Sus scrofa: one gene and its partners. The protein of the gene in region 1 interacts with the protein of each later gene in a pairwise test. Links are inferred from orthologs where the notes say so. Each region holds a gene or a part of one and is shown on either strand. Other genes may lie near its edges. The genes, in order: TBC1D22B, VPS52, DEUP1, FXR2, CDR2 and HSD17B14.

Region 1 (4,618 bases):
CAAACCCTGTTGCTTAAAAAATATTGATCCTGAGGCTGCCCTCGCTTTGTTTTTTGTTTTTTTTTGTTTGTTTGTTTTTTTGTCTTTTTGTCCTTTTAGGGCCACTCCCTTGGCATACGGAGGTCCAATTGGACCCAGGCAAGGGGTCCAATCGGAGCTGTTGCTGCCAGCCTACACCACAGCCACAGCAACTCGGGATCCGAGCCATGTCTACGACCTACACCACAGCTCACGGCAACACCGGATCCTTAACCCACTGAGCGAGGCCAGGGATCGAACCCGCAACCTCATGGTTCCTCGTCAGATTCATTAACCACTGCGCCACGACAGGAACTCCTTTTTTTTTTTTTTTTTTTTGTCTTTATGCCGTGGCTTTGTTAAACAAAAGAGTGGCACCAAAGTCGTATCTCTCCTCGAGGGCAACAGGACCTCATCAGAGTAAACAGGGAACAGCTTGTTCATGGTGGAACTCAATGCTTACGAACACATAGGGGCTACCTAATATGATCTCTTGTTCTACCAGTAGTTGATGTCCTACTCAAAAAAAAAAAAAAAGTTTATGTTGCTGTAACAGATGAATTCTGAAATCTCAGTGAACCGGAACGCAAAGGCTTACTTCTTGCTCCCCTTGCTCATGCCACTTGTCCAGGGGAGAGTCAGGTGGGTGTGGAGGGCAGGCTCTGCTCCCCATAGTCACTCTTTTTTCCAGCTGAGGGAGGCACCACCCTCTGGAGCCCCTCCAGTGATCACAGTAGAGGAGAGCTTCTGGAGAACTCACACCTGTTCTGTCCCTTGGCTTGGAAGTGACTGCCTCACTTCTCTCCTCAGCGCACTGGCCAGAACCAATCATACAGGCTCACCTGAGCGCAAGGGACTGGGAGGAGTAGAAGGGCACGCGGACTCTTTGGAGAGCACGGTGTCTTAGTTTCGTCTGTCTCTGCAGCATAGGGCTGGCCTGGGTGAGGAATAGATGTGGATATTTTGTGTTTGAAGAAGGTAATGAGTGTGCATGAGACAGTTTGTGATGCTATTGATATTATATTAAGCACTTGATGTTAAGATGTGTCAGACCATTCCCTTGGTAACGGTGTCTCCTTTCTTAAAGCTTCATTAAAGAGCGGTCAAAAGTCAACACGGTTCCTCTGAAGAGTAAGAAGGCTTCCAGTTTTCATGAGTTTGCCCGGAACACCAGCGATGCTTGGGACATTGGCGATGATGAGGAAGAGGACTTTTCCTCCCCTGCTTTCCAAACTGTGAACTCAAAAGTTGCTTTGGCAACTGCCGCCCAAGTGCTAGAAAACCACAGCAAGCTGAGGGTGAAACCAGAACGGTCCCAGTCCACAACATCCGATGTTCCGGCCAGCTACAAGGTCATAAAGTCCAGCAGTGATGCTCAGCTGTCCAGAAATTCCAGTAAGTTCGTCCTGCTCCCCTCCATAGGTTCCACCTTTTCAGCAGAGTAGATTTTAAGTAAAACCAATTTTTCTTTAGAACATCCCTCAGATCTTGCATTGGATGATAAGTAAGCAAGCTCTGGCCTGAGAGGTGATGTCAGGGAACCTAACTGGTCATGAGCTGGCCTTGTTTCTCCCACCCCCACCCAAATGGCTGCCTGGCTCTGGGACCTGGGGCTTCACCTCCTGACACCCACCGTTGCCTGCCATTCTCTTCTTCCTTTCCCTGCGGTGGGGTCCAAACTTTTGTGGTTCGATTGCTTCGCATTGTTTTAGTCCTGGTCAGGTTGAAGAATACCCATGAAATGCAGTTCAAGTTGTTAGTGGCTGAATTTCATACATGTTTGGCTCTGTTGGTTGACCTCCTCAGCTGTGGAGAACAACCACCAGCATTCAGGTTGTCTTTTTCCTGTTCCTGAGGAACAGGGTCCCTGTGTCACAGCTCCCAGCCCACCAGGTTGGGTGGGGCAGGAGGAGGAGGTACCCCTTCTGCTTTTTCTCAGGAAACTGGCAGCAGTAACTGGCTGAGATGATGGTGGTTTTATCAGATGTTTGGGGTTGCTCGGTGTACTCTGTTAAATGTCAGAGTCTTAAATTATTGCTGTATTTAAGGTTGTCCTACAGGGTTTTATGAAAGCCAGTTATTCTGCGCTGAGAGGGAAGGGCCCTCGTCGGAGTGAAAGTTAAAGCAGCTGACTGGTAAAGGCTGAAAGGGACGCAGGAGGTCAGAGCCCTAGAGTGTGTCCCGGCTCACGTTGTGAGAGAGCTGCTTTTACAGTTTTGGACTGAGGCTGTGGTCGTGAAATTAGGCTGTAAGACCCTTTCCGATCATTCCATAGTCCCTTTCCATCACCGATTTGGGCCCCACCTGCACGCTGTGCCCGTTGCAGGCATTCAGGGTCTGTTGACCATGTGGCCATAGCTATAGGCTACAAGAAGTGTCCTCACTCCATGTTTGAGGGTCTCCAGAGGGTCCTAGTATAAGGAAGACCCCACCATGGTCCCTAATGAGCTGCCCTTGTTCAGCCAGACCGCCCAGAACATTCCCGTTATAGGGCTTCTTCCTGTGGACACCTGTCTGTGACTCCTGACTCCGGAGGTGCAGGTCGGCCTCACTCTGTGGTGTGTGGTCTGCGTCTCCCAGGCCCCATGTAGCACCAGGGATCCAAGCCAAGTCCTATGTGGCTCTTGTTCCTGTTAACCTAGTTGTGCTGGCTGAGGAGTGTTCACTGTTTAATTCTTGCTGTGACTACTGCTTTTTAAGGCCCAAATGCCTAAAGAATATGAGTCACGAAAGGACAGTCATGAGTTTTGTTGGGAGTAGTAAAATACAGAAGGGTTTTAGAGTCAGAGCTAAGGTGCTGTCCCAGCTCTCCCCACAGGTTACTTACCTCTCTGAGCTGCAGTTTCCTCCTCTCTAAACCAGTGGGGAACTCCTACCAAGTCTTGTAAGGACCAAATGAGAGGTCATGTGTGGATATGACCAGCATGATTTTTTTTTTTTTTTTTTTAGGGCTGCACTCGCGGCACATGGAGGTTCCCAGGCTAGGGGTCCAGTTGGAGCTGTAGCCACCGGCCTTCGCCAGAGCCACAGCAGCATGGGATCCGAGCCACGTCTGTGACCTACACCACAGCTCACAGCAACACTGGATCCTTAACCCACTGAGCTAGGCCAGGGATTGAACCTGCGTCCTTATGATTCCTAGTCAGATTCATTAACCACTGAGCCACAACGGGAACTCCTAGCATGATTCTTTATGCATATTAAGCGTTCAGTAAATGTCAGTCCTCTGCTCATTTCTCTACCTGCCGTCTAGTTTAGAAGTTTCCAAACCAGACATAGAGTTCAGCTTGAGTCTGTGTTCCTGTTATTTCAATCACATCCCGGCAGAATTAAAAGCTGGCTTTTTTTGGTGAGAAGTGTAGGCGTGCAGAGGAACCGCAGCCACTCAGAGCGGGCCTGCCCCTGGCCAGAGCCTCTGGCCTGGTGTGCAGGGTACATGGTGGGCCAAGAACAGGTGAGAGTTGTGCCAGATGTTGAGCATCTCTGCCCTTGGGGCAGCCGCCTGGGGCGAGCAGCTGCCTCCGTGTGCTGCAGTGTGCTCCACCGTGTCCTTCTTTTCCATGCGCTCTGTGATGTGTGAACGGAAGGCCAGCCCTGCCTTTGACTGCATTGCCCCAAAGAAAAGTTCCAGGTTAGGGTAGAAAGAAAATGATTCATTTTCCCCCGAAGTCACCAAAAACATAGTCAAAGTTGCTACAGCCGCTGTGGTCTCCATTGACACACGAGGCACCTTGGTGTGGACGAGAAAGGGCTCTGACCAACTGCTTCCCTTTCACCCTCTACGAGTCAGCTGCTTTAACGTTCACTCCACTCAGGCCCTGGGCAGGCAAGTGGAGCTGGCTGGGTTTCCATCCCCAGCTGCCCCACATGAGCCCCCTCGGGCAGCGCAGAGCCCGTGCTGAACTGTCAGGTGTGGGGTCTCCCGATCGCCACCTGCACCCAGCCTACTCTCCTTCTCTATCACATTCTCCCAGGTGACACGTGCCTGAGGAACCCACTCCACAAACAGCAGTCACTCCCTCTCCGACCCATCATCCCCCTCGTTGCCCGGATCTCAGACCAGAACGCCTCTGGGGCACCCCCGATGACTGTCCGGGAGAAAACCCGCCTAGAAAAATTCCGCCAGCTTCTCTCCAGCCACAACACTGACTTGGGTGAGTCCCCATGAGCCTCAGGCAGGCCAGGACCTCTTGGTGACTGGAATTCTCAGAGACCTGGAAGCTACTGCTCTTTATTCTTCCCTCTTTTACTTTTCCAGCATCTCCTGATCTGGTGCCCATTGAAGTGACATGCAGGTATTAAGTCAGAAATGTGTTACTAGAAATTAGGGGCCAAGTTAGGTGGGACTGGATTCTGTGGCCGGTAGACCATAGAGTGACGACTCTGGCTTGGGTCTCCCTCCCTCAAGGCGACGCTTACTGAAATCCACACCCATTGGTCTTTCTCTTCCCTCCGACTCTCATCTGTGAGCTGACTGGTCACTACTGCAGAACCGTGTCCTTGGCACCTGCCACTCAGGGCTGCTCTCTGGGGCTTTTTCCCTGTGCTTGTCGGTAGCTGGTGGTGGTGGTGGCGGTGCTGCTGGTGATGGCGGCGATGG
Region 2 (4,618 bases), about 3.2 Mb from region 1:
CCTTGAAGCTGGTCAAGCAGCCTCTGGGTGACTCCCGTCTCGGATCCCTCCCCACCACCGTGTGTGTCCCATTCCAACCCAGTCTAATCATACTCCTCGCTGCTTCTCACCCAGTGAAGCTGCATATGCTGCACCATGACCATGACCCTGGGCAACCCCATGGCCAAGCGTGGAGCCCTGCTTCCCAAACCAGTTACCCTCGCCCCCCCTCACATAGTGAGGCCGAGTGTCCAGCCCCCCGAGGCGCTGGGGGTCAGTGCTCCGGACGCTCTGGACGTTCATCTCCAGGATCAGCTCAAACCGCGGCCACAGCAAGGCAAGCACCTGTTCCCAGTACCTGTGGGCTTCGCCAGAATCAGAGATAGCAGCAAGGAGCACAGGGGTGGGGAGGTGGGGTTGGGGTGTGTGCGGGCACCCTGACCGGCACAGGGGCAGGAGGGTGTGAAAGCTGGGTCTGGAAGCAAGAGCACTGCTTCCCAGCAGACACACAGGGACAGGGCCAATGGGATGAGGCCACTAGGAGCCCAAGGGTCAGGGCAGGTGTGTAGGAGACCAAGAGCTCAAGGCTGGTGGGGGGGGGCGTCGAGAACCAGAATTCAGCACCTGTCCAGGGCGGGGACATCCCTCTTTGCTGCAATGTTTCGGAACCGGAGAACAATATGGATACAGAGAAAAACCGCTATGGCATCGTAGCAGTCGGCCAGGTAAGACTCCAGGTGCTTCTGTGATTTAGGAACAGGAAGGGGATTGGAGGATTGTGTTTGGGACTCTGTCATTCAAGTGGCTACAGACAAATGCACGGGCTCCTCTGGGGATGTGGGGGGGGGGACGATCTAAAAGGAAAATGCTCCCTCCTTCCCTGCCCACCGATCCTCTGCCTTGCTCACCAGATCTGTGGTCACAGGCCCATCACAGCACAATTCAGGGCTGAACACCAAGGTTTAAGGGCCCCTGAGTTTTCAGGTGCTATTGCCTGGTGTGGGTCTGCGGCAGGGGTGTTCTGGGAGACCCCAAGCTGTGGTGGTTCCATGGGGAGTCACACAGCTTTAGAAAGAGGGCATCTGGTTGCAGTCTGTCCAGAGCCCTGACCTCAGTGATGAGTAAGGAGGACCTGGAGGGCAGAGAGCAGGGGAGCCAGGGCACTTACCAGCGTCATGCTGAGGGTGCGGCCCATGACAGCGTGGAAGAGGTCGTGTGCAGCCGGGCCAGACACCACGAAGAACTCGCAGATGAAAAGATATTCTCGGCAGGAGTTGTCCAGGAGGGCATAGTGCTGGCTGCGGAAGAGTGCCTCAAAAGGGTACTAGAAAAAAAATTAAATTAAATTTTAAAAAAATAAAATAAAAAAAAAAAAAGGAGTTCCCGTCGTGGCACAGTGGTTAATGAATCCGACTAGGAACCATGAGGTTGCGGGTTCGATCCCTGCCCTCGCTCAGTGGGTTGGCGATCCGGCGTTGCCGTGAGCTGTGCAGGTTGCAGACTCGGCTCGGATCCCGCGTGGCTGTGGCTCTGGTGTAGGCTGGTGGCTACAGCTCCGATTAGACCCCTAGCCTGGGAATCTCCATATGCCGCGGGAGCGGCCCAAGAAATAGCAAAAAAGACAAAAAAAAAAAAAAAAAAGGGTACTAGGAGGGGAGGGAAAAAGAGGGGAGAGAGAAGGGTTGACGTGGCTGAAAGACCAGGAAAGCTGGGCAAGGAGAGCACAGGAGGCACTCCCCTCTAACCCGAGTCCAGGCTTCGAGAGGGCATCCTGAATGGGGACTGAAGAGGTGGGGGCACAGGAGGAGAGCACCCCCCACCCCCCGCCTGCCGCTGCTGCTGCTCCTGCCCCCACCCCCAGGCCTGCCTCCTGACCCGGTGACTGGCCGGGGGATTCACTCAGGGGTCTGCCTCCTCCTCCTCCTACCCTCTGTTCTCCCCGCTGCGCTGTGTGCGGCACAAGGATGGGGGCTTCCAGTTCAGTGGGCGAGATGACGGAGCCACGGGTCCCCAGGGTGAAAATGGTGTTCCTGCTGCGGAGGGACGGCTTTGAGAAGAAGCGTGCAGGGTCACAATCAAGGAATACAGTACTGTCACTGCAGTGATGGAAGATCAAAGCCTTGGGAACTCCATTGGGCCCTGGCAGCCAGACAGCCTCAGCATCCCCCAGGACCAGGGCCCCACTTCAACGGATGTCTGCAAATGGGCCCCAGGGAGCCTCTCCACCCCTGACATGACATGCAAAACAACACATCAAAGTGATTTGCGCATTTTCTTGAGGGAGAAAGTCATAGCTTTTATCACGCTCCCAGAGGTGAGCAGCAGAGCCCCAGAGGCTGGACCCAGAAGCCCCGCCCGCCCCAGGCCCAGCAGGAGCGGTCCTCAGCTGCAGGATATCTTTCTTTGCTGTGTCCTCCACGCCCATCAGATCATCCTTCTCAGCGACTTCCTCATACTAAAGAAAAGAGAAAGGAGCCCTGGTACCCAACCCTTTCCAGAGTGCAACAAGAAAGGGCTCTCGGCTCTGAGCCAGGGCAGGGGCCGCCTTTCTCCTGGCCTCACCTGCACCTTCATGAGCCGCCCCAGGTAGGAGCGGTAGTAAGACAGGTACATCTTGCTCAGCGTCTCCACGTATTCGTCCCTGACCTCCTTGGCCGTGGCCCGCTCATTGCCCAGCAGGAACTGATAGAAGAACCTGGAGTGGCAGGGACGGGTCAGCCCCGTCACCTGCACCACCAGACACCACGCGTGCTGCGCAAAAGCTGGGAGTCCCCCCCTCCCCCCAAGACGGTCTTTCGTTCAGGTGGCCACCTGTACTTCAGTAGGGCCGTTTGGGGGATCTGATAGTTGGTCATTGGTTTCCTGAAGGAATAGATCTTCTGAAGGATGAACTCTCGGATCTTTGTTACCGCCTGGACACGGAGGACCAAACACAGGGTGTGAGGCTGCAACCTTCTCACTGTTTGGGAGGCACTGAGGGATGTAATGAATGCTGAACACAGGAGGAGAAACAGCAGAGAATATCTCTTGCATATTTAAGACCCTTAGGGAACCCAGAGAGGTGAGGATGTGCCCTGCCAAATAAAGGCAGGGCAAGGTTTTCGGGGACAGGCTACGGGAGACCCAGGGTGAAGGTCTCAGGGACGCTGGTTCAGGAAGTCTGGACAATCCACCCCCATGCACCACCTTGACCCGGAGCCGGTCCAGCACGCCCCTGACATCTGCACAGGCCGCTGTGCCTCTAGCCTCCTGCTCCCGGACTGCAGCTGCCTTGGCATCCAGCTCCTGCAGCTGTTCCAGGAACCGGGGCTCTGTCACTGGCGCCTCCAGAATTGCCCTGGGAAGCAGAGAGGGATGGGATGGGTTAGGAGATCCAGACATAGCTAGGCCCTAACCACACCCCTTCCATCCAGCCCATCTCCTCTCCCTTCTTACGCTATATCAGAGAGTCAGGGCACATGTGTACCAAGTTTCCTGTTCCTGGACACACACACCTCCACCACCCACAAGCCTTGGACCCCCTCACTACATGCCTGACCCTGGATGATTCCTAATCTTTGATGCCTAAAGCACATGTCAAGGCTAGAAAGAGTTGTCAACCCACTCATCAGTTTCTGAAAGGAACTTGACGACCTGGAGCCGGAAGACCCACGAGATAAGCAGGGCAGGTCACTCCAGCTCATCTACTTGCTGTTGACATCATGACCATTCAAACTGGTGACTCACGTGACCAGAGCAGAGGGCACCACCAGACCATCGACAAGCTCCCCGAGCTTCCCACGGACAGCCTGGCGGTTTCGAAGCCTAATGTTCATGGCTCCTGACTGTTCCTGCAGCGTCCGGATCTCAGAGCTGATGGAGCTGAGGTCACTCTGAAAAGCTCCCAACATTTGCTCCATGCGCTGGGGGGAAGGCAGAAGTGTTGCTGAATTGCCATTGGGTTGGGACGGGATGAGGGAATCACCCAAGTCCATGAGGGTAGTGGGTGCTGAGGGAAGAGGTACCCCAAAAGTCCCTGGCAAATAGCATTCATCACGGCAGCAGCAACAAATAAAAAAGGCTGCTGAGATCATCCTGATGGCAACTCAAATGGTCCCCACCTGAGGCTAATGACCTAGAGAATGGTACCAGAGACCATGACCTGGGTTCAGGGTTATCAGGGGTCCCAGGTCAGGGTTATTAACCTCAAGGACAGCATCGCAGGCTGTGATCTGATTGTGCAGAGATGCTATGTTCTCACTTTCTTGGATATCTGACCACAAAAGTCAAGGCCTTACTGTGCAGATAGAGCTCCTTGGACCAGCAGGACCTCTCCTTCTCTCTTAGCTGATGGAGGGCAGCTGTGGCGGGGCTGTCAGCACCATGCCCCACAAAATACTCCTTTTTTTTTTCTTCTTTTTTAGGGCCGCACCCACAGCATATGGAAGTTCCCAGGCTAGGGGTAGAGTCGGAGCTACAGCTGCCGGCCACAGCCACAGAAACACCAGATCCAAATTGCATTTTCGACCTAGGCCACAGCTCACAGCAACACTGGATCCTTTTTTTTTTTTTTTTTTTTTTTGGTCTTTTTGCTACTTCTTTGGGCCGCTTCCGCAGCATATGGAGGTTCCCAGGTTAGGGGTCTAATCGGAGCTGTAGC
Region 3 (4,618 bases), on another chromosome or scaffold:
AAGGCAAGAATAGGATAAAACCTATCCTGAAGATATTTTAGGAAAATGAAGCTGTAAATAAATGAGGAATTTCAAAGAAGGAAGCATCAGAGTAAGTTAGCCACAACAAAACTGTGTCTGCCACAAGATACCATTTTCTGGTTAGAAAAATGACATATTCCTAGCTGCTGTGCAAAGCAAGTCAAACACACAGTACTTTTCTTTTCCTCTCTTTTCCCCTCCTTTCCTCTTCCTCCTCTTTTGCTCTCCCTCTCCAACTCTCATCCTTCCTTCCTTTTAATCAGAGAAGAAAAGAGAAGCAGAAAATTGCAGTGGAAGCACAAACAGCTGTTCTCTCAACAATGTAGCTCTTCTACAGTGTATTCTATGAAACACCTGTTTACAGTGTTTACACTGCAACTGCTACAATATTTGTTGGTTTTAGTTTAAAAAATACTTTCCATGGTCAAATATGTTTGAAGAATGATGGAGTAAAAAGGCTAAATGAATGCTTTTAAAGCCGACTTCTCACAGCTTGTGATATGCTAATATGCACTGTGAATATCCAGGAGGAGTAAAAAGCACTTCCTAAGCTCTCAGTGTTAGTGCACAGAACACATTTTGGTGAAATGGCCATAAAAATATTTGTTGACTAGCCAGTAGCCAAGTAATAAAATAGAGCTGCAAAGCATCAAATGGCAAGGGTTCATATATTAAGTGAATGCTCACAGTGATGATAAACAAGCCCCAAACTTTTTAACCACAGACATGAAAAACAAAAAACCCAGAATGTAAAGATTTAGTAAGATGCAACTAAACTAGTTAAATATAATTTAGAGATGGTACTTAACTTTTTTTTATCTAGATTTCTGTATTTTTAAAAACTTATTCCAGATCATGAGCTCTTTGTTTACACTGAACAACTACAATGATTCAATATTTATGTTGCTACATTAGAGCTTCACCTTTATAGAAAAAGCAAGGTTGACTGACTTAAGTGTTAAATGTTTAGTCTTACCTAGGAAAAACCACGTAAAGTTTCATAAGTCAAGTTACCATCTGGCAGCAGCTATTTAAATGACAGACAAAATGCCCAGGTAGACTTAAGAGCTAGTCTTGTAAGACGGTACCCATTAAGTGGCATCGAATGTTTCAATTCATATAGTAATGGCTGATCACCTCCCTGAAAAGGTGCTTAAGGAGGCGCTTCAATTACTGTGGGCTCCTTTAAGATCATTTGTGAAATATCTGCACTCCAAAAAAGGTTGGTTGTAAAGTAAAATTTCATAATCAAACCATATTTCCCAAAAGTCACTAAGTTAAGTAAGAATACAGCATCTACTAGACCTGAGATGCTCAGATGATTACTTCCCTACATCTCATCTGTGGTAAGAAAGAGAAGACCTTTTGCTTCCCAGCACCGTGGGAGTATAGTACAGGGACACATCAGAAAGAAATCAGTATCCCTATCATCACATATGCAAAAGCTCCCTCGTTTAGGAAACAGACTACCAATAACAAAACACTAAAGAATTTTGGCAATAATATAAAGTTATGTTCTTTGAATTATCTATTTCATGAGAGAAAATCTCTATATTTTAAATTGCCATAGAAGAAAGGGAATAGAGACCACAAAAGATAATATTTTGTTGTTGTTGTTCACATAGCTAATTATCATGACATAATTAATCAACAAATCATTTGATAAATAGAAAGCCATTAGCCTAGCACTGAGTCAACAGTTAAAGGGATGCAGAGCTGGCAATCTAATGAAAGAGACAAAATCAATACACATTAAACAATGAAAGACAGGGTCAAATATATGACCTAGCATTGAAATACAAGAATGTTTGCCTGTATTAAAAATAATTCATTTTAATACAATTAACACAATTTTATAAATCAAACCATATACCAAAACATTTTATATTAAATTGTAGTAAGTCTCCTTACTTGAGCTTTTAGGGTTTGAAGTTGTCCTTCATAATTCTGAGTCATTGCTAAGTTACACTTTTCCAAACTGTCCAACTTCTGTCTAAGTAACCCCACCTGCATAAGAATAAAATTTAATTTTTTTCTAATTTTTGCCTGACAAAAATCAGAAAATGTGCAAAAGAGGAGTACAATTCAAATAAAACTGCTGTACCAAACCACGAATATTTTTACTGTGGTTCTTAAAATAGTTATTAATAATTAAATTCACAAAAACTGAGCATTGCTAGCACTATTCCACTGGGTACACATCAGAACACTATGGATGTTTGACAAAAGATCTTTCTCACTGCCACATTTTAAATTAAGGTTTAGAATTTACTCTGCATTATCTTTTTGGGAGGCTCCTATCATCATCCCTCGGGCAGAACCCCTGCCAACATACTTCGGCCTTTATTTTGGGCCCCACTGCCTTCAATAGGAGCTCTGTTTTAGAGGTACTGTGGAACAATAGTTACATTTTTATAATAACAAAAAGCAAAATGTCTAAGAGGAGTTCTTTGGGATTTGGCTTACAGAATTTGTCCGCTTAAAAAACAGGCAAGGCCCCTGTTTGCACATCTGTGTTGTAACAGGTGTAAAGGTGAGAAAATAGTCCCTCACATGTGCCAGGTCTGATGACCTGCCTCTACTGATAACTCAGTTAACGAGGCCAGACAATAACTTAGTTATTAACCATGACAAAAACTAAGTTCCACTGACAGGGTGGTAGAGGTAGAAAAAAGACTGCTGAACGAGTTGACTGTTGATGTTTGGGTTATTAGCATATGGTCAGTAAAGACGTCTCTCATGCCTCGCCCCAAAGAAAAATCCACAGACATGAACGCCCACCTCAGGTGAAGCGTAGGGCTTTCCTCAAGTCCGCTGCAGGTCTGAGAGCGCTCAGACCTCATTCTACCATCACCGGCTTGGCCACAAACAACCTCCTGGGCCCTGGTTAGGTCCACCAGGGCCCAGGCACTCCTCCCAAGTGGGTGCCCAAATATACACACACTCCCTTCAATCCTTCTCTCTCTTGTCCTACAATCAAGACTTGACTTCCACTTCTTTCAGGAAAGATTGTTTCCTAGCAGATGAGAAGAGGCAAACACTCCTCAACTCTGCCTGTCTAAAGACACAGCTTTGACGACTACTTCTTTCTTTCTACAGCAGCAAAATAGTGACATTTATGCTTGCAAACAGTATTTATTTCACATACATGTTGAATGTTTACATTCCTCGCTGGCATTGACACTATATCTTATTTAACCATCAAATTACTCTGCTTGCCGCTTTTTTTGGGGGGGGTGGCACACCCACAGTATATGGAATTTCCTTCTCCAGGGATCGAATCCCAGTGGCCGCTGTGACCTATGCCATAGCTGCGGCAACACCAGATACTTAACCCACTGCTCCAGGCAGGGGATTGAATATGCTTCAGCAGTGACTGGAATTGCTGAAGAGACAATGCTGGATCCTTAACCTACTGTACCATAGAAGGAACCCCTGCTTGCCACTTATTTGCTAGAACACATTTAGCACACTGCAACAGAATTTCAAGCCATAAATGCTGTTGCTGATGCCTGATAAAAAGTATGTGTAATGAAAAACTTATTTTGATAGAATACTATTTATATCAGTCTGAGACATTAACACAGCTAGGCAGTACCTCTTGACCTTTCTGATCCAAACAAGTTTGTGCATTTGCCAACTCTTGATCCCGGAGATCTAATCTTGTCTCCAGAGCCCGCATCTTCCTTTCCCAATCCAGTTTTTTGTTGCTTACCATGATGTCAATTTGTTCCATTAATTCCTGAAGCTCGGCCTCACAAGGAGAAGCTCTGGCAATTGCAGAAAAGCAAAATATATTTAGAAAGAGTGAAATGTGAGAACAAGAAAAATTATGGTCTTGCTTTGAATGGCTTGACTATTATCTCCTCAAATTGTTCAATTATTTAAATAGGAAGAATTCCCAAAACTAGAGGTTAACATTTTAAATTAAAACTAGAAGCTGGAGTTCCCATCGTGACTCAGCGGTTAACAAATCTAACTAGGAACCACGAGGTTGCAAGTTCAATCCCTGGCCTTGCTCAGTGGGTTAAGGATCCAGCATTGCCGTGAGCTATGGTGTAGGTGGCAGATGTGGCTTGGATCCCGCATTGCTGTGGCTGTGGTGTAGGCCGGTGGGTTGAGCTCTGATTAAACCCCTAGACTGGGAACTTCCATATGCCACAGGTGTGGCCCTAGAAGAGACAAAAAAAAAAAAAAAACAAACAAAAACAAAAAACAAAACCCAAAACCTAGAAGCTAATTTCAGAGCTTATAATGTATATTCTTTTACTGGAAATTTTTAAAGTATAGTTGTTGCCATAATATAATGAAATGTATTAATAAAGTCACTGCCTGTGCTTCTATTATGTGCAGATGGTACATATAAGAAGAAAACTGTACCTGACCCAACTCTTTCCTGACCCAAAAGTTCTGACTTAGACAAGGGCACCCTAAAATGAAAAAATACTGTGTGCATTACATCAGAAATAAGGTCACAATTTTAAAAGTTAGCTTAAAAAGAATTTCAGAGCAGACCAATTCTTAGGAAAATTCTAATTATGAAAAATGATTCCATGCTCCTATACATAAATATACATATACCTATATGCTTATCAAA
Region 4 (4,618 bases), on another chromosome or scaffold:
TCAGAAATTCCCAGAAGGAGACCATCTTTGGAATGCTAGAGAAATCAGGTGTGGAGATAGAGGAAACGAGGGCCAGGGGCCAGGGCAGGTCATTCCTACACAGACAGACCAAACTGGCACAGGAAGGCGCAAGAACCAGAGAGCCATTTGGATTTTTTTATTCTCTTTTTAAATACTGTACAGTGAAAAATAAATACGCCTTCTCATCCACCAGACAAGGTTGGTCCCCCCTCCCCTGGGGGACCTTGTCACCCCCCTTCATACACACCCCTGGTTCTACTCCAAAACCTTCCCCATGCCTCCCACCCACTTAGACCCTTACTATCCCCGTCTTCCACAGTGATGAGGCCCCAGAAATGGGGGGTACAGGACGGGAGTAGGGATAGCAGGGGAACCCCCCTGAACTGTCACATCTGGGTGGGTCAAGGAGCACCCCGCACCAACAGGCGGAGAATGGGGGTGTTCAGAGAGAGATTGGGGCATTAGAGGATAAAGGCACATCCAGTCTGATGGGGAAGGAGAGAGGCTCCCCTTACCCTGGGGGTAGGGTGGACAAGAGGGAGGGGGTATGACCCTGTTACACACCCCTCCACTAGCTCCTGGAGGTTGGGGGGGACCCAAGCTGCTGTGCCACCCCCCTCCCCCCTAGATAAGAGCAGCTCCAGCGCAGGTCAGTCGGGCCTGTGAGGGCCATGGTGTTGGGCAGCAAGCGAGATGGAGAAGGGAGGGATGCGGGCTGGAGGGTTTATGAAACCCCATTCACCAAACTACCCAACTCCAGGGGGGCGGAGAGCTCCCCATTCTCTGAGGGGCCCTTAGGAAGCTTGCTGACAGAGTCACCCTGAGGGGGAAATGGGAAAGAAAACGGAGAGGACGAAAAGAGAAGGGTCAGTAGAAATCCAGGTAACGACAAGCCCCTACCGTCCCCTTGCGCCAGGCATCCGCTGACCCGGGGGTTGGTTCACCTGATGGGACTCTAGTCACATTTACTCAGATCCAGAAAATAAGAACCCAACTTTCCTTTCTCCTCTACTGAAACTTTCCAGTATTCTAAATGCAGCCTACACTCCGTCAGACACACCTTCTCTGCAATTTAGTAAGAGATTTCTTTGGCAGTTTTCTTGTGCCCCCCCTGCCCTAGAACAACAAAAAAGGAGGTAGGGGGAACTACATCTTGCTTGCCTACCTTCTGTCCTGAAAGAGAATCCTCTGAAGGTTTAGTGCGTTCCAGGGGTGGCCGCTGGCGGCTCTGAGACTCTGCTCGGGAGATATAGTCAGCCACAGTCACTGGGGAAGGCAGAGGACCGAGTTTCAGAAGGGACCCAGGTACCCGACCACTGAACCCCAAGCCCGAGAGTTCACAGGCTAGGAGGCAGCCTGTTCTCTGAGGAAGGAGCTGAGCCCCAGGGCTGGCTGACCTGGCTGACGGTCTCCACTGACAGAACCATCAGTCCGGTTACCACGGTTGCGGCGGCGGCGGCTCCGATTACGACGCTGGGGTCTTGACTCATCTTCTGTGGGGCAGGGAAAAACAAGAGCTGTGCATCAATCTCCCACCTCTCAATTCTTGCCCAGTTCTAATTTTTCGGACCCAGGTACACCCCTTACTTACCCAGGCCATTCTCTGTCATGCTGGGCCCGTCAGACTCTAGGCCTCCATCCATGACAGTCCTGTCTTCATCAGTGCGGCGGCGGCGGGAGCGGCGGCGCCTGGCACTTGCTGGGGGGGGTTCCCCTGGCTCTGAATCAACTGGGGGCTCCGGTTCAGATGTGTCCAGTAGGCTGTAGGGATTACTGTCTGGGTCTTTCAGCACTGGTTAGAGGAAGAAGAGTTAGGAGTCAGGTGCCATCACCGCATCCTTCCTTTTGGCGCACATTCACAAACCCAGCTGTTTGCTTCTGGTACCTGAGCTGATAGACGAAGAGTTGTATCTCGAGGTGGGCCGGGGGGCAGGCGGGGGTCCCCTACCCCGGCCCCCAACAGGCCGCCTCCGGCTTTCTTCCGACCGAGTCGGGGGATCCCTGTCACCGGGCCCAGCTCGGCTGAGCTCCTCCCTCTTCTCTGACTCCGTCTCAGAAGCTGTAGATGGGTCTGAGCTGGGGCCTGACGAACACCAACACAGTGAGGTTCAATCAGGGTCACTCTCCCTACCCCAGGATCCATCACAGCCTCCAGGCTGAAGACTCTCTCTCTCCTAAGTCCTCCAGCCAATCACTTTGTTTTCTTCCTTTTTTTCTTTTTGGTCTTTTTAGGGCTACACCCACGGCATACGGAAGTTCCCAAGCTAAGGGTCGAATTGGAGCTGCAGCTGCCTACGTGGCCACAGCAACTCGGGATCCAAGCCTCTGCAACCTACACCACAGGTCACGGCAACACCGGATCCTTAACCCACTGGGCAAGGCCAGGGACTGAACACGCATCCTCATGGATACTAGTTGGGTTCGTTACCAGAGACACAACAGGAACTCCACTTTTTCATCTTCTCTATCACCCTTTCCTCAAGCTTCCACCCAGACCTCTGCCCCCGCCCACCACCACTGCCCTGCCTCCCTCTCCCATAGCCGGCTCACCATAGGCAGGACCGCCTGTCCTCCGGCCCCGGCCCCGGCCCCCATAGCTGCCCCCATAGGTTCGTGTGGTGTGGAGAGAGGAGGAAGAGCTCTCGTCCGTGGTATATCCAGCCTTGTCACTGCCACCGCTGCCCCGCCCACTCCCAGGAGGGCGAAAGCCCAGCCCAATCTGCCGAAGCTGTTCATCAATCTGCAGCCTCTCCAGGCGAAGCTGCTCCACCTCCTGGTTGGGCAGAAGTCAGAGAAAAAACAAGGAAGGAGAAAAAAGTATAAGCTCAACAACAGCCTCTCTGCATGCTTCTCTGCCCTGACTGTCCCTACATATCTGAACTCTCAGGAATGCAAGAAGGCTTAACACAGAAAATTCTGGAATCCAGCCCCACAGCCCCAAGTTTCCACCCCATGGTTTCTGTTCTACTCAGACACAAACTGGGAAGCATCACTTTTAACTTTTTCCACCAGCATCCTTAGTCCCCTTGTACACGCGGCTCTTTCCTCTCCCAGGCTTCCGGCTTGGGTACCTGCAGGTAGGAGAGGTGATATTCCAGCAGAGCCTGAGCATTGCTGATATTCTCTCGGGTGCCAACAAATATGAAGGGAACCATTCCCTGGAGAGCAGGGGGGAGGACAGACGGATTAGAAGGAGACTTAAATGAAGTGTAAGTCCACCCGAATGAGATCTTTCTGGGCTCTACGTCTACTAGGGGAAGTCAAAGTCCCGGTGCCCCAACCCCTAGAAAGTCCAGCCCTCAGAGAATGGCTTAGAGAATGATCCCATCTACTTTCAGAAACCAGTCTCTAGGTATAGCTGACCCATACCTCCTCCCTGGGGTTCTTCTTGTCATTATCACCTTCTACTCGAACCCTCACCACACCAGACTTATCCACAATCTCCTGGATCACTTTTCCATTCTTTCCAATCACTTTGCCTAAATGGATAAAGGAGAAATTAGGCCTTTAAAAAAAAAAAAAAAAAAAAAAAAGGAAAGAAAGAAGAGTAAAAACAGACAAGATAAACAGTCTTCCAGCTTTTTAATAATGATTCTGTTTAACAGTTCTCCTGCTTCTAGGCTTCTGGTGCATTTTCATAGGATAAAATATAACAATCCCTAGAAACCTGTTCTCCCATTTTTGTCACTCCTACTATAGACTGTTTGCTCTGTCCTTGCAAAACCGGAAGTTCACAGGGAGGCGCCAAGCCCAGAATCAATTTAAAGACTCTTGGAGTTCCCTCATGGCTCAGCAGATTAAGGATCCAGCATTGTCACTGCTGTGCTTCTGGTTATACCTGTGGCATGGGTTTGATCCCTGGCTCAGGAACTTCTGCATGCCACGGGAATGGCCAAAAATTAAAAAACAAAAACAAACAAAACAATGACTCTCACAACTGGTCCCTCACTATTTCTCTTACATACTTACATACACAGAGGTCTACAACTCACCAACCAGGTTCCTGGGTACTTGCACAGAGTCCTCAGAAAACTCAAGGTAGCTCCGGGCCTGTCGGCACGCCTCGGGAGTCTAAGAGAAGAGGGAAACGTCACTAATAACAGCGGACCTGGATCCCAAACAGTGATCTTCCTGCCACTTTCTATCTTGGGGAAAATATGCTGCCACCAAAGTCAGGGAGGGACTCACAACAGGTCTCCTTTCTGTTTAACACTCTCTTCTCTCTATTCCCTAAGGGACTGAGATGACAGGTATCTCTTGCTGACCTCCCCATAGATGCGGAAAGTGCAGGTCTCTTCACCCAATTCAATGGCAGTCACCCCAGGGACTTTTCGGGCCTGCTGGATGTTGGCACCGTGAGTCCCAATTGCCAGTCCCATCAGGTCCTCTCGCACTGTGAACTCCTCCTGGAAAGCTGCGGCCAGCTGCTTACTTGTCTGAAAGATAAAGACACTGGACTATAGGAATCACAGTGGTGAAATCTCAGAACACCATCCCAGGTACCTGATACTTCACATAATAATAAAAAGAAAAAAAATGTATGAAAGAAAACCAGAATTCCCTGGGAGTCTGCTGACCACTAGGACCTGTGTGGAGA
Region 5 (5,264 bases), on another chromosome or scaffold:
GGCTCTCTCCGGAAAATTAACAGTGAAGATGTTAAAAAAGGGACAGATGTGTGCACTGCATAAAATCCCATTAGATCTGCTTCTCCAACTGTTGAAGACGTCAGACCTGCTCCCAAACTTTATTCAGCAGCAAGTATCTAGGGAGGGGTCACCCTGCCAGGCTGTGTGGTGGGCACACACCAGGAGGCAGCAGCATCTCTACTCAAGAGATTCCTAGATGGTCCACTTCATGAGTAGGATCCTGTCTACACTACTGTGTGGACAGACTCTGTGGCTCCACTGCCTAGATGACACAGAGCAGATAACAAAAAGCTTTGAGAAATTAACAAATTAAAAAAATCCGTGAGAGGGATGGACTGGGGGTTTGGGATTGGCATATGCACACAGAGGTATATGGACTGATTGGCCAGTGGGGACCTGCCGGATAGCACAGAGAACTCTGCCTGATATTCCGTACTAATCTATGTGGGAAAAGAATCTGAAAGAGAATGAAAACGTGTGTATATGTATAACTGAATCTCTTTTTTTGCAGCAGAAATGATCACAGCCTTGTAAATCGACTATACGGCAATAAAACTTAAACATGGGAAAAAAAACCAAAAAACAACAGTGGGGGAAAGAAATCAGCTGAAAGTTTAGGAGTTCTCTAACATATAACTTATTGAAATTGGAACAAAGATATCCTTCTGTTCACATGGCAGCCTTCATTCTTCTCCAGGCCGTATTCACAGTTGGGACTATTGGAATTTCATATCTATTCCTGCCCCACACACTTGGTTATGACATAGAGGGTTATGTCAAAGTCCACTGTGGTAACAGATGTAAACGTCCTTTGAAAAGCATCGAACAAATTCCAAACGCAAACTGGCACTGAGGAAGTTTGGACCTGTGCCCTTTAGGGTTTCACGGAACTTGAACATCTGATGACTTTGTTTTGATCAGAGGTTAAAGAGTGTTGCATCGCACCCTAAAATGTGGCATCTGCTTCTCAGCAGACTGAAGTATGACAATCAGCTGTTCCTAACGACCTCCCACAAGGCGAAAGGGCAGTGTGGGCTAAGGCACCTGAGAGAAGAGAGCCATGAAAACAGGGATCTTGTTTGAGTGTCGGGATGAGCTTCTACTACCTGCTAAGTATTATGCTAGATTCAAACCAACCAACCAACCAACCTACCAGCCTGTACAGATCTACGCCTTCTAAACACAGTAAAAAAATACTTAGCTTTGATTACAGGATGAACTGCGGAATGTATTATAGGGGAATGCTGCAAGTGCACAGTGGTTGCCTCATAAATCCTGGAGAAAGTATCAAACTAGGCCATCAACCCTTAGGGGGAATTCTGAAAACAGGTTAAAATGTAAGACAAATGTGCCTTGTGGACCTTGTGAATATGATGGCAAATACGGCATGCACTGCAGCCACTGAAGAGCTTCGACTATATAAGCATAACGGTGAACTCCTGCGACTGTCCACTCCATACTGATGTAAGAAATTATCTCCCCCCTCCCAAAGAGCTCCTTATGTTCCTTTTCTAAGTATGAGTCATTTAAGCCCATATTCCCCAGCCCCCAAGTTCAATGGTTAGCATGAACAAACAATCACGGTCATTTAATAGTCAACTACATGAGGTGTTAATTTTTTGTGCCAGTTTAGAGCTGAAAAAGCTGATGTGCACAGCATTGCTGAAACAGAAGAGGCCTGGAGAAAAAAACAAAAAAACAAAAAACAAAAAACCCACAACTCCTGAGGAGTATTCAGCATCCAGGATGAGGGCTGAGAAAGTTTACTTTGGAGTTTGGAGTGGAACCCTAGCTCCCCCAACAGCAGTACTCAGTACTTCTTTGCCATAGCACTGCCCTACGAAATGAGCGAGCACCTGTGTGAAGGGGCCTGTTAGCGTCTGGCACACCAACAGCTTCCCCAGTTGCAAGTCCCTGCTATTAAGAGGCAAAAAACTGGCATTGGCTCCAAAGTGAAGGCCCCTCTAAGGTGTCTCTCTGGAGACAAGAAATCCAAGACAGGCTAGGGCCTGTTTTAAACGAACACCTGTTTTTAACTAGAAAGCAAGGGTGCAAATTGAAGGAAGGGGAATACCGCTGAAGTGCCCTCAAGTCATGTCCCTTGCATCTGGTGAACACAAGCAAAAATTTTCCCGCAACTGAAAAAGCCGTAAAACAGGTGGTGAAGAGATAAGGTTTGGGCAGAGGCTACGACGACTCCCCAGTCTGAGTGTGTGGCTTCATAAATACGTTCTCCCCCACTTAATCTGGAGGAAGGCACTTGGCAGCGTTAGTCTCCGCTTTGCCCATCTGGAAAATGGGGATAACACAAGTTACTCTCTCGCGGAGTTATGGTGCCCATCGAATGTGTGAAAAGGGCTAGACAAGGTTCCTGCCACCTGCAGCAGCTCACACTTGGCACCGACTGTGTTTTCTCCCGGAGGCGGAGAGGCAGCAGGGGCCCCTGAGCCCAGCAAGGGCTCCCCTCTCTGCTCCGAGTAATGCCATGGGGATTAAATCAGTTAATCTGGGGAAAGCGCGTCAAACGGTGCCTGGCGCCCAGCTAGCAGGAGGGGTGATGATGGTGATGCTGATATTGGTACCTGCGCAGAAGCCCGAGTCCCGCGCAGCGCAGTTCCCCGGGGCGGGATGGGCAGGCGCGACAGTCCCAACACCAGGTGAGCGCCAGACCTTCCCTGCACTTGGCATCTGTTGGCCCCGAGGAAAAGCAACTTTTTAAGTTTCGCGGCGGGAGAAGCCGTGAGCCGGCAGCGCCCCGGCCAGGCCCTGCCAGGCGACCGCGCCCTCACCTTGCTGGAGGTCCTGGTGGTCGTACCACGGCTCGTCCTCCTTCATCTCAAACTCCTCCACCAGGTTTTCCGCCAGCATCTCGGCCGGCTCTTCCGGGGGCAGCGGCCCCCGCCGCCGCCGGCCCGCCTCAGCCGCTGCCCCGGGCTTTCCGCCGGCCCCTCCGCCCTCGGCCAGAGCCGCCCTCGGGCGGGACGCGCCGCCGCCCTGGCTCTGCCGCGCAGTCCGACCACAGCTAGCCGCCGCTGCCGCCGCGGGGCGGCTCGCAGCGCAAGCCTCGGACCGGCTTTCCGACTCGCCTCGCGCAGCTCAAAGAGTCCCAACGGCCAGCGCCCAGGCGCTAGCGCCCCGGCCGGCGCCCAGAGCCGGCTCCTCACGCCGCAGCCCGGCCCAACGTGGCACTTTGGCAGAACCCTCCCCGATCTGGGCTGCGATTCAAACCCCCGGCGGCGCCTCAGCCAATCGCGAGAGGGATGTCGGCCGAGCGGCAGCGACATCGTCCAATCCCGTCTCACTGCAGTCCCGCGGTTCGCCGGGTTTCAAGGGCAAGCAGCCAATGGGAACTCCGGGGGAAACAAAGAAGGCGGGAAAAGGGGAAGGGGTGCGGCCGAAGGTCCCGCCCCTCTCTGCTTTGAGTAGCTACTGGGCGTATTCGCGTTACACAGGTGTGGATGTGGCGGCCTCAGCGGCCACTGTGGTGGGTGTCGGGCGCGCTGGCCAGTGGACTGGCTGCGTGGGCGTGAGGGGCGGGAGTCTGGCCTCGGAGCATAAGGCAGTTGCTGGCAGGCGGCGTGAAGGGTTCCGGGATCCTGAGATCCGCTGTCCCGCCGGCCTCTGCTGGTCTTTTCACGCCCAGATTTGGTCTCCTCTACGCAGAGAAATTGAGGGTCGGTCGAAAGTTTAGGGCTGTTAGCTATTTTCTCCTTGATATCTGAGTACAATCAGCTGAGGATTGTACTCACTCCCCCTGAAACGGTGAGCCTCAAACCCACTTGAGTATCTGGGGACAAACAGGAACCGGTGCAGTTGACGGTAACTTAGCCTTAAAAAAAAAAGAAAGAAAGAAATTGCAGGCATTTTTGCATACTTTTAAAAAGATTCACAGATCACAGGACTCTGGAGTCATAATGTTAACACCTGCAGAGAATGCAGTCGAAGCACTAGATGGCCAGCAGAGCAGTGAACACTCGTCTCCAAAGACAATAGCAAAATAAATAACTGCCGGTAGGTTGTGGATTTCACCAGCATTGTGCAGACAAAACACAGACATTTTAAAATAGGGTTACAGACCAGAAGGTCAGTGTTCTCAGCCTTGATGTAACGGTAATGCACAGCTGACAGACAACGGTGCTGTCTCTTAAAGTAGAATGCGCACTAATAAACGTAGAAGGACTTACGGTGTTAGAAGTAATAAAAGCAGAAATGGTAAACTGATAAATTCTTTTCTTCTGAAGCCAAATATGCTAAAAGGTAAAATGTTACTGATAAATTTTTTATTGCTAGGCTAAGACAGAAGCTAGGTTGTGCGTCTAGCTAGTCTAGCCTGTACTGCTCTAATTGTCAATATTCTGGTAGAGAAATTAGTCCCTAGCCGAAAGAAAATAATCACACCCAACTATCTTTTTTTTTTTTCTTTGCTTTCTAAAAAATTTATTTATTTATTTTGTCTTTTTAGGGCTGCACCCATGGCATATGGAGGTTCCCAGGCTGGGGGTCAAATCGGAGCTGTAGCTTCGATCTACACAGCTGATGGCAATGCTGGATACTTAACTCCCTGAGGGAGGCCAGGGATCAAACCTGTGTCCTCATGGTTGCTAATGAGATTCGTTAACAACTGAGCCACCGCAGGAACTCCAAACTCAACTATCTTAATTTAAAAGTCACTATGGATAGAGCTCTTTGGAAAGAGAGATGATTGGATTTAGGATTTGTGGATGGTGATTTGTGGAAGCTGAAGGGGCAGAAACATGTCTCTGATCGCTAAGAGACAGTTTTTTAGTCTCTAATCTGCAAGATTGAAAGTGCTGACTTTTTCCTCCATGGCAGAAGCTTGTTTTTGACTCCAAATCAAATGGGAAAGTGCATCGAAATGCTCTTTTAGAGTCTTCAAAAATCAACAAGAAACATAACAACAATGAAATTCAAGAATGATCCGGAGATAAAAGTTACTGATGATTTAAAATGGCACGGCAAGAAAACCCCAATACAATCCCCCCCCAAACCCAAATATAACAACAATAAACTCAGCCTTTTTGTATTAGTGGGTTGTTTCGTTTTTTCTTCTTGGCCACACCTCAGCACGTGGAGGTTCTGGGGCCTGGGATCCAACCTAACCACAGCTGTGACAAAACCGAGGCCACCAGGGAACCCTATAGGTTCTTTTTAAGGACACTATTTGGGGAAACTTCCCTCTCACCTGAAAAAGCTTGAACAAAAATTGCCTTGAACAAGAAAAT
Region 6 (5,169 bases), on another chromosome or scaffold:
GGCATTGCTGTGGCTGTGGCATAGACTGGCAGCTGCAGCTCCCATTTGATCCCTAGCCTGAGAACTTCCATATGCTGTGGGTGTGGCCATTAAAAAAAAAAAAAAAAAAGCTGAGAATTGTCCTGTCTGTTAGAAGTCGAAGGTACAGTCATAGACATTTTCCAGACAAAGGATCTTACATAAAAATGACATTTGCGGAGTTCCCATCGTGGCGCAGTGGTTAACGAATCCGACTAGGAACCATGAGGTTGTGGGTTCGGTCCCTGCCCTTGCTCAGTGGGTTAACGATCCGGCGTTGCCGTGAGCTGTGGTGTAGGTTGCAGACGCGGCTCGGATCCCGCGTGGCTGTGGCTCTGGCGTAGGCCGGTGGCTACAGCTCTGATTCAACCCCTAGCCTGGGAACCTCCATATGCCGCGGGAGCGGCCCAAGAAATAGCAACAACAACAACAACAACAACAAAAAGACAAAAGACAAAAAAGACAAAAAAAAAAAAAAAAAGACATTTGCCATGTTTGGGGGGGGGCAATTTTCTCTCTTCGCTAAGCTCCTTCACTTCATCCTCAAAATGAGGACGTGAGGGCTTCCTGGGGGAGGAATTCTAATGCTCCAATTCCTTTGCAGCCTGCCCTGGGACACTCAGGAGCCAGAAATGGCTCAGAAGCTCTGGGTCCTGGAGCAGGTAAGGAATTGGAGATCCAAACTAGAAGCAAGAAAGTCAACAAAAGGGTGAGGAGTAGCATTAAGTATTAATGTCTCCTGAGTACTCTTGAGTACCAGGGTATGGATGGCAGAACATTTCAGAGACGCTTGAATTCCTGGGGAATGAGAAAGCCCTAGTTCACAGCGGTTCCACCGTTGCTGTCAAACTCTGCTCCTCTGTCGGGAAGTTTTCGGGCAATTGGACTACAGATCCCATAATGCACGCAGACTTAAAAAGAGGGTCTCGCCCTGTTCAAAATCCTTTAGAGCCATATGCTAGGGACTACAACTCCCAGAAGGACACGCTCTGCACCGTGGTCCTCACCTTACAGGCAAATTATTCAAGGCCACCCCTGCATCTTCTTTTTTCTAGTCCGAGGAACACGACCCCTTATTTACCAACATCTGAGGGTCACCGGGAGCGAGTTCTCAGCCTCTCTCAAGCCTTGGCTGCTGAGGCGTCACAGTGGCACCGAATGATGACAGGTGAGAATGGGCTGGGGACCTTGGGCTCCTGGGTGTTAGGGAAGAGGGAGTCTGGAGGCCCGGAATCCTAGGTCCTGGTGGGGAGGGGGGTCCGACGACCGCCAGAAACCCTCTGCCTTGGTAAAGAAAGAGCTGGACAGGGCTTGGGGGTTCCAGACCCCAGTAGGAGGGGACTGGATCCCAGGACTGCCGTGTCTGGGGAGGAGAGGACGGGGAGCCTGGACTCCTAGGTTTGAGAGGAAAGTCCTGGGTGTCGGGACTTCTGGGTCCCAAAGTTTGCCATTCTCGTTCTCCGTCCGTCCTCTCCAGGTGGCAGTTTGGACTCTCGAGGAGACCCTCTTCCCCCTGCGTCGCCACCTCCGTCAGATCCCACGCCCTGCGTGTCCTCGCCCCCAAGATCTCCTCCAGTGGCCAGTTCCCACTCCACGGGGTTCTCCCACCGAGGGACTGGGCGCGACGCAGGCCCGGCCTCTTGGGAGCCGACCTGGGATTCCGGGACCGCCCCTCCCGCGCTAACCCCAGACGAGGAGGCGTGGCCTCTGAGAGTCACGCTGCTACAGTCCAGCTTCTGACCCGCCCAAGCAGGGCAGCCAATCAGAGCTGGAGGGCGTGTCCCGGAGGTACTTCCGGGACAGATGGAGCCTCTTCCCTCACCTGAGGGCGTGATCTGGTCCCCTCCCGGTGGCCGAGGAGTGGCTACTTTGGCCAAAGTTTGATTTTCCCAATACTTGTCCAAATTTGGATTAAAACATTGAACTCTTAGTCGATAACTTTCTGTCTGTTTGGAGTTGTGACACCGGTGTCTCGAAGAGGTAGAGCTGGAGTGGTGAACTCCTGGGTCCCGCGGGAGGAGGGGACAGCGGACTCAGCTTTGTGTGTCAGAGGAACGGGGGGAGCTCGAGGTCTGGATTACTGAGTCTGAGGGAGGAGGGGGCCGGCGACCTGGATTCCTGGGTCTGAAGGAAGAGAGGACCCGGGACCTGGACTTTGGAGTCCAAGGTCCGGCAGAGGGGGCCGGACTCCAGGAATCCCGAGTTTGAGGGTTGGGGGACCGGCCTCCTGGGTCTGAGGGAGGAGGGGGCTGGGGCCAAGTTCCAGGCTTCTGGCTTTCCTGGCAACGCCCCCGGGGCCGGGCTTCAGGATCCAGCCCCTATTTATGGTTCGACCCCAAGACCTCACCGGACTTCAGAGGGGGATAGAAGCCTCGAGTGAGTGTGAGTGAGTGGCCGAAGGAGACCTTCTGACGCGGGATGGCAACGGGAACGCGCTATGCCGGGAAGGTGGTAATCGTGACGGGGGGCGGGCGCGGCATCGGAGCTGGGATCGTCCGAGCCTTCGGTGAGTGGGGTCTGGTCGGCTCTGAACAGTGGAGTCTGGGAGCGGAGGGACCCGGGGGCTAATGGGTGTGGGACGAAGTATCTTCTGTACTGGAATCTAGATTCTTGTCTCGTAAAATCCAATTTGCAAAGTTAACGAAGGGAAGGCAGAGGTGGCCTGGGGCCTGAGATTGCGGCGGATTTTCAAATGCCATTGACTCCCTTTCTCTGGGTCTCAGCTATTGCTACAGAATGGGGGGCCGGGGGTGGTGGTTGAAGGAATATGTCTTTTGGAGGTTTAGGGTTTACTCTAGAACCCAGGGATGGAGACTCAGGAGCCCCAGAAGTCACCTGGAATAGCCAAGGAGAAGGCTAGGCTTCTGCCTTTTGCCCTACGGGATCATCATGAGACTTTGGGGTCACGAGGGGAACAGAGCTGGGGCGGTGGTGGGGGGGGAACGGCCCTGTTCCGGGTGGCCACAGAGGGCAGCAGAGATCTTCACCAAGGTCTCTGCAGGGCTAACCTATTCCCTGTCTATTCGCAGTGGAAAGTGGCGCCCAGGTGGTGATCTGTGACAAAGACGGTGAGTGAGGGTCCCCCAGTCCTCAGCCCACTGCCTCCTCCCTTAGATTCAAGAAGAATACAGGCCCCAGCACCCTCCTCCCTCAGACCCAGGATCCAGCCCCAGCCCTCCTCCCTCAGACCCAGGATCCTGGGCCCCCAGCCCCTCCTCTCTGAGACCCAGGCTCCAGCCCCCAGCCCTTCTCTTCCTGCAGAGTCCACTGGTCGGACCCTGGAGCAGGAGCTGCCTGGGTCTGTCTTTGTCCTCTGTGACGTGACTCAAGAGGATGATGTGAAGGTGAGCGCGTAGTTTCTGTCCCTCCCCGTCCCCCTCAATCTCCAATCGTTCTCTCTCTCCCTTCACCCCGGGCTTTGCACATGCTATTCCCTCTACCCTTCCCCATCTCCTGGCTAAATGACACCTGCCCCCAGAGTCTCAGCTCAGTTTCATCGCAAAGCTTTCCTAACTCGGCTGGCCACGTCCTGTGTCTGCCGAGAAGATTCTCCTCTATCTCCCAGGCCTTCAAGGCCCCTGGTCCCTCCTGTCACATGATCTGGATCCAGTAAGAGTTCTCCTTCTCCCAGGGTTTCTCCCCTTCCCTTCATCTGCTCCCCCATCCCCCACCCTCCTGGGTCTCTGGAGTAGTGAGCTCAGGGTGTGTGTCACCAGCCCTCTGGTCTCTGGCACCCTGGCGTCCAGTCTCCTCATCTCCTGCCATGCCTGGCGATTTGGGGTCGGCCCCCACAATGTCCTGTCCCCTCCGCGGTGACTCCGCTTCTGCCACGTCTCACTTGGGGGAGCCCAGCAGGGGCGCCAATGCTGTTCACTCACAAGACAGCTTTCTCCTCAGACCCTCTTTCTGAGACCATCCGCCGCTTCGGCCGCCTGGACTGTGTGGTCAACAACGCCGGCTCCCGTGAGTTGTCAACCCGCTTCCCGGGCTCTGTCCCATTGCTGCTCTGTGTCCCCAGGCCTGTGCCGCCACCTCTTTATGCCTCAGTTTCTACATTTCTAAAATGACAATGACCACCACTGTCCTTGCCATTACAGGGTGTTGAGAGTATTAAATAGTGTAACTGGGCGGAGTTCCCGTCATGGTGCAGAGGAAATGAACCTGACTAGGAACCATGAGGTTGCGGGTTCAGTCCCTGGCCTTGCTCAGTGGGTTAAGGATCTGGCTGTGAGCTGTGGTGCAGATACGGCTCGGATCCCGTATTGCTGTGGCTGTGATGTAGGCCAGAGGCTGTAGCTCCGATTCGACCCCTAGCCTGGGAACCTCCATATGCCACGAGTGCGGCCCTAAAAAAAAAAAAAATTGTGTCACTGCTCAGCCCCCTAATCACCCTAACTGTCTTGGGCAGACAGCGTCCATCTTGCAGCCTCCGTTTTGGTTTGGTTTGGTTTGGTTTTGGCCATGGCATGCAGAAGTTCCAGGGTCAGGGATTGAATCTGCGCCACAGCAGCAATAATGCCAGGTCCTTAGTCTGCTGAGCCACCAGGGAACTCCAACCTCAGTTTCTTTAAAGTGAGGCGGATGGCTCTTTTTTTCTGTGACTGTGAACAAGTACGCTTGGCCCAGGGCTTACAGGTCTTGGTGTGGAGGCTTTGAAGGGAAATTGTCATCTGTTTCATGACTACCCTTTATAAGAATGCCTCACATTGGTAAAGCGAGGCTCAGCGAGGTGAACTGATTGGACTAAGGTCACACAGCAAGGCTGTGATGGAAAGATGCCTTTCTTACTGGCTGGACAACTTTGAGCAAATTGATTTACCCTCTCCGGGCTGCAGTTTCCTTCTCTTGTCAAGATATAAAGAGATGGCAGGTACTAGTTCATCCATTCTCTCTATGTCCTTTGGCCTTTCAATAGATGTTTACTGAGCATCCGCTATGCCCATGTTCTTTCCTAGGGACTGGGGATGTAGCGGTAAACAAAACAGACGAGGCATTTCTGTCCTCGTGGGATTCATGTTCTAGAGAAAGGAAACAGATAAAAAAAAAAGACAGCTATCTTTCATCTTCATTATTCACCCTCTGGCCCCAGGCAGGACTTGGGGCGCTTTCCCAGTATTCACGGACATGCGCAGAGAGGCTGACATCTGTGTG

Evidence for each region.
Region 2: the proteins of TBC1D22B (region 1) and VPS52 interact in binary tests that used the Homo sapiens proteins (3 or more experiments, as listed by UniProt). The link is inferred for Sus scrofa from reciprocal best matches to the Homo sapiens genes TBC1D22B and VPS52.
Region 3: the proteins of TBC1D22B (region 1) and DEUP1 interact in binary tests that used the Homo sapiens proteins (3 or more experiments, as listed by UniProt). The link is inferred for Sus scrofa from reciprocal best matches to the Homo sapiens genes TBC1D22B and DEUP1.
Region 4: the proteins of TBC1D22B (region 1) and FXR2 interact in binary tests that used the Homo sapiens proteins (3 or more experiments, as listed by UniProt). The link is inferred for Sus scrofa from reciprocal best matches to the Homo sapiens genes TBC1D22B and FXR2.
Region 5: the proteins of TBC1D22B (region 1) and CDR2 interact in binary tests that used the Homo sapiens proteins (3 or more experiments, as listed by UniProt). The link is inferred for Sus scrofa from reciprocal best matches to the Homo sapiens genes TBC1D22B and CDR2.
Region 6: the proteins of TBC1D22B (region 1) and HSD17B14 interact in binary tests that used the Homo sapiens proteins (3 or more experiments, as listed by UniProt). The link is inferred for Sus scrofa from reciprocal best matches to the Homo sapiens genes TBC1D22B and HSD17B14.

What each region holds. Positions count from the first base shown.
Region 1 is NC_010449.5:32,866,004-32,870,621, forward strand, and holds part of TBC1D22B (TBC1 domain family member 22B), read left to right. Parts: intron 1-1,105; coding exon 1,106-1,413; intron 1,414-3,992; coding exon 3,993-4,172; intron 4,173-4,618. UniProt on the Homo sapiens protein: May act as a GTPase-activating protein for Rab family protein(s).
Region 2 is NC_010449.5:29,632,098-29,636,715, forward strand, and holds part of VPS52 (vacuolar protein sorting-associated protein 52 homolog), read right to left. Parts: intron 4,232-4,618; coding exon 4,164-4,231; exon of another isoform or gene 4,053-4,163; coding exon of another isoform or gene 3,882-4,052; coding exon 3,706-3,881; intron 3,317-3,705; coding exon 3,166-3,316; intron 2,892-3,165; coding exon 2,791-2,891; intron 2,675-2,790; coding exon 2,542-2,674; intron 2,435-2,541; coding exon 2,377-2,434; intron 2,041-2,376; coding exon 1,907-2,040; intron 1,304-1,906; coding exon 1,148-1,303; intron 723-1,147; coding exon 604-722; intron 338-603; coding exon 214-337; intron 1-213. UniProt on the Homo sapiens protein: Acts as a component of the GARP complex that is involved in retrograde transport from early and late endosomes to the trans-Golgi network (TGN).
Region 3 is NC_010451.4:25,816,581-25,821,198, reverse strand, and holds part of DEUP1 (deuterosome assembly protein 1), read right to left. Parts: intron 3,792-4,618; coding exon 3,620-3,791; intron 2,029-3,619; coding exon 1,933-2,028; intron 1-1,932. UniProt on the Homo sapiens protein: Key structural component of the deuterosome, a structure that promotes de novo centriole amplification in multiciliated cells.
Region 4 is NC_010454.4:52,885,790-52,890,407, forward strand, and holds the end of FXR2 (fragile X mental retardation syndrome-related protein 2), read right to left. Parts: intron 4,458-4,618; coding exon 4,287-4,457; intron 4,093-4,286; coding exon 4,014-4,092; intron 3,501-4,013; coding exon 3,391-3,500; intron 3,180-3,390; coding exon 3,093-3,179; intron 2,795-3,092; coding exon 2,572-2,794; intron 2,105-2,571; coding exon 1,907-2,104; intron 1,814-1,906; coding exon 1,613-1,813; intron 1,515-1,612; coding exon 1,419-1,514; intron 1,288-1,418; coding exon 1,187-1,287; intron 842-1,186; coding exon 746-841; 3' UTR 143-745; downstream 1-142. UniProt on the Homo sapiens protein: mRNA-binding protein that acts as a regulator of mRNAs translation and/or stability, and which is required for adult hippocampal neurogenesis. Specifically binds to AU-rich elements (AREs) in the 3'-UTR of target mRNAs.
Region 5 is NC_010445.4:23,794,714-23,799,977, reverse strand, and holds the start of CDR2 (cerebellar degeneration-related protein 2), read right to left. Parts: upstream 3,176-5,264; 5' UTR 2,890-3,175; coding exon 2,811-2,889; intron 1-2,810.
Region 6 is NC_010448.4:54,140,800-54,145,968, reverse strand, and holds the start of HSD17B14 (17-beta-hydroxysteroid dehydrogenase 14), read left to right. Parts: upstream 1-1,825; 5' UTR 1,826-1,998; intron 1,999-2,358; 5' UTR 2,359-2,436; coding exon 2,437-2,524; intron 2,525-3,047; coding exon 3,048-3,086; intron 3,087-3,279; coding exon 3,280-3,362; intron 3,363-3,899; coding exon 3,900-3,981; intron 3,982-5,169. UniProt on the Homo sapiens protein: Catalyzes the NAD(+)-dependent oxidation of L-fucose, yielding L-fucono-1,5-lactone, which rapidly converts spontaneously to L-fucone-1,4-lactone. Can also act on D-arabinose and L-galactose, with lower catalytic efficiency. Does not use NADPH.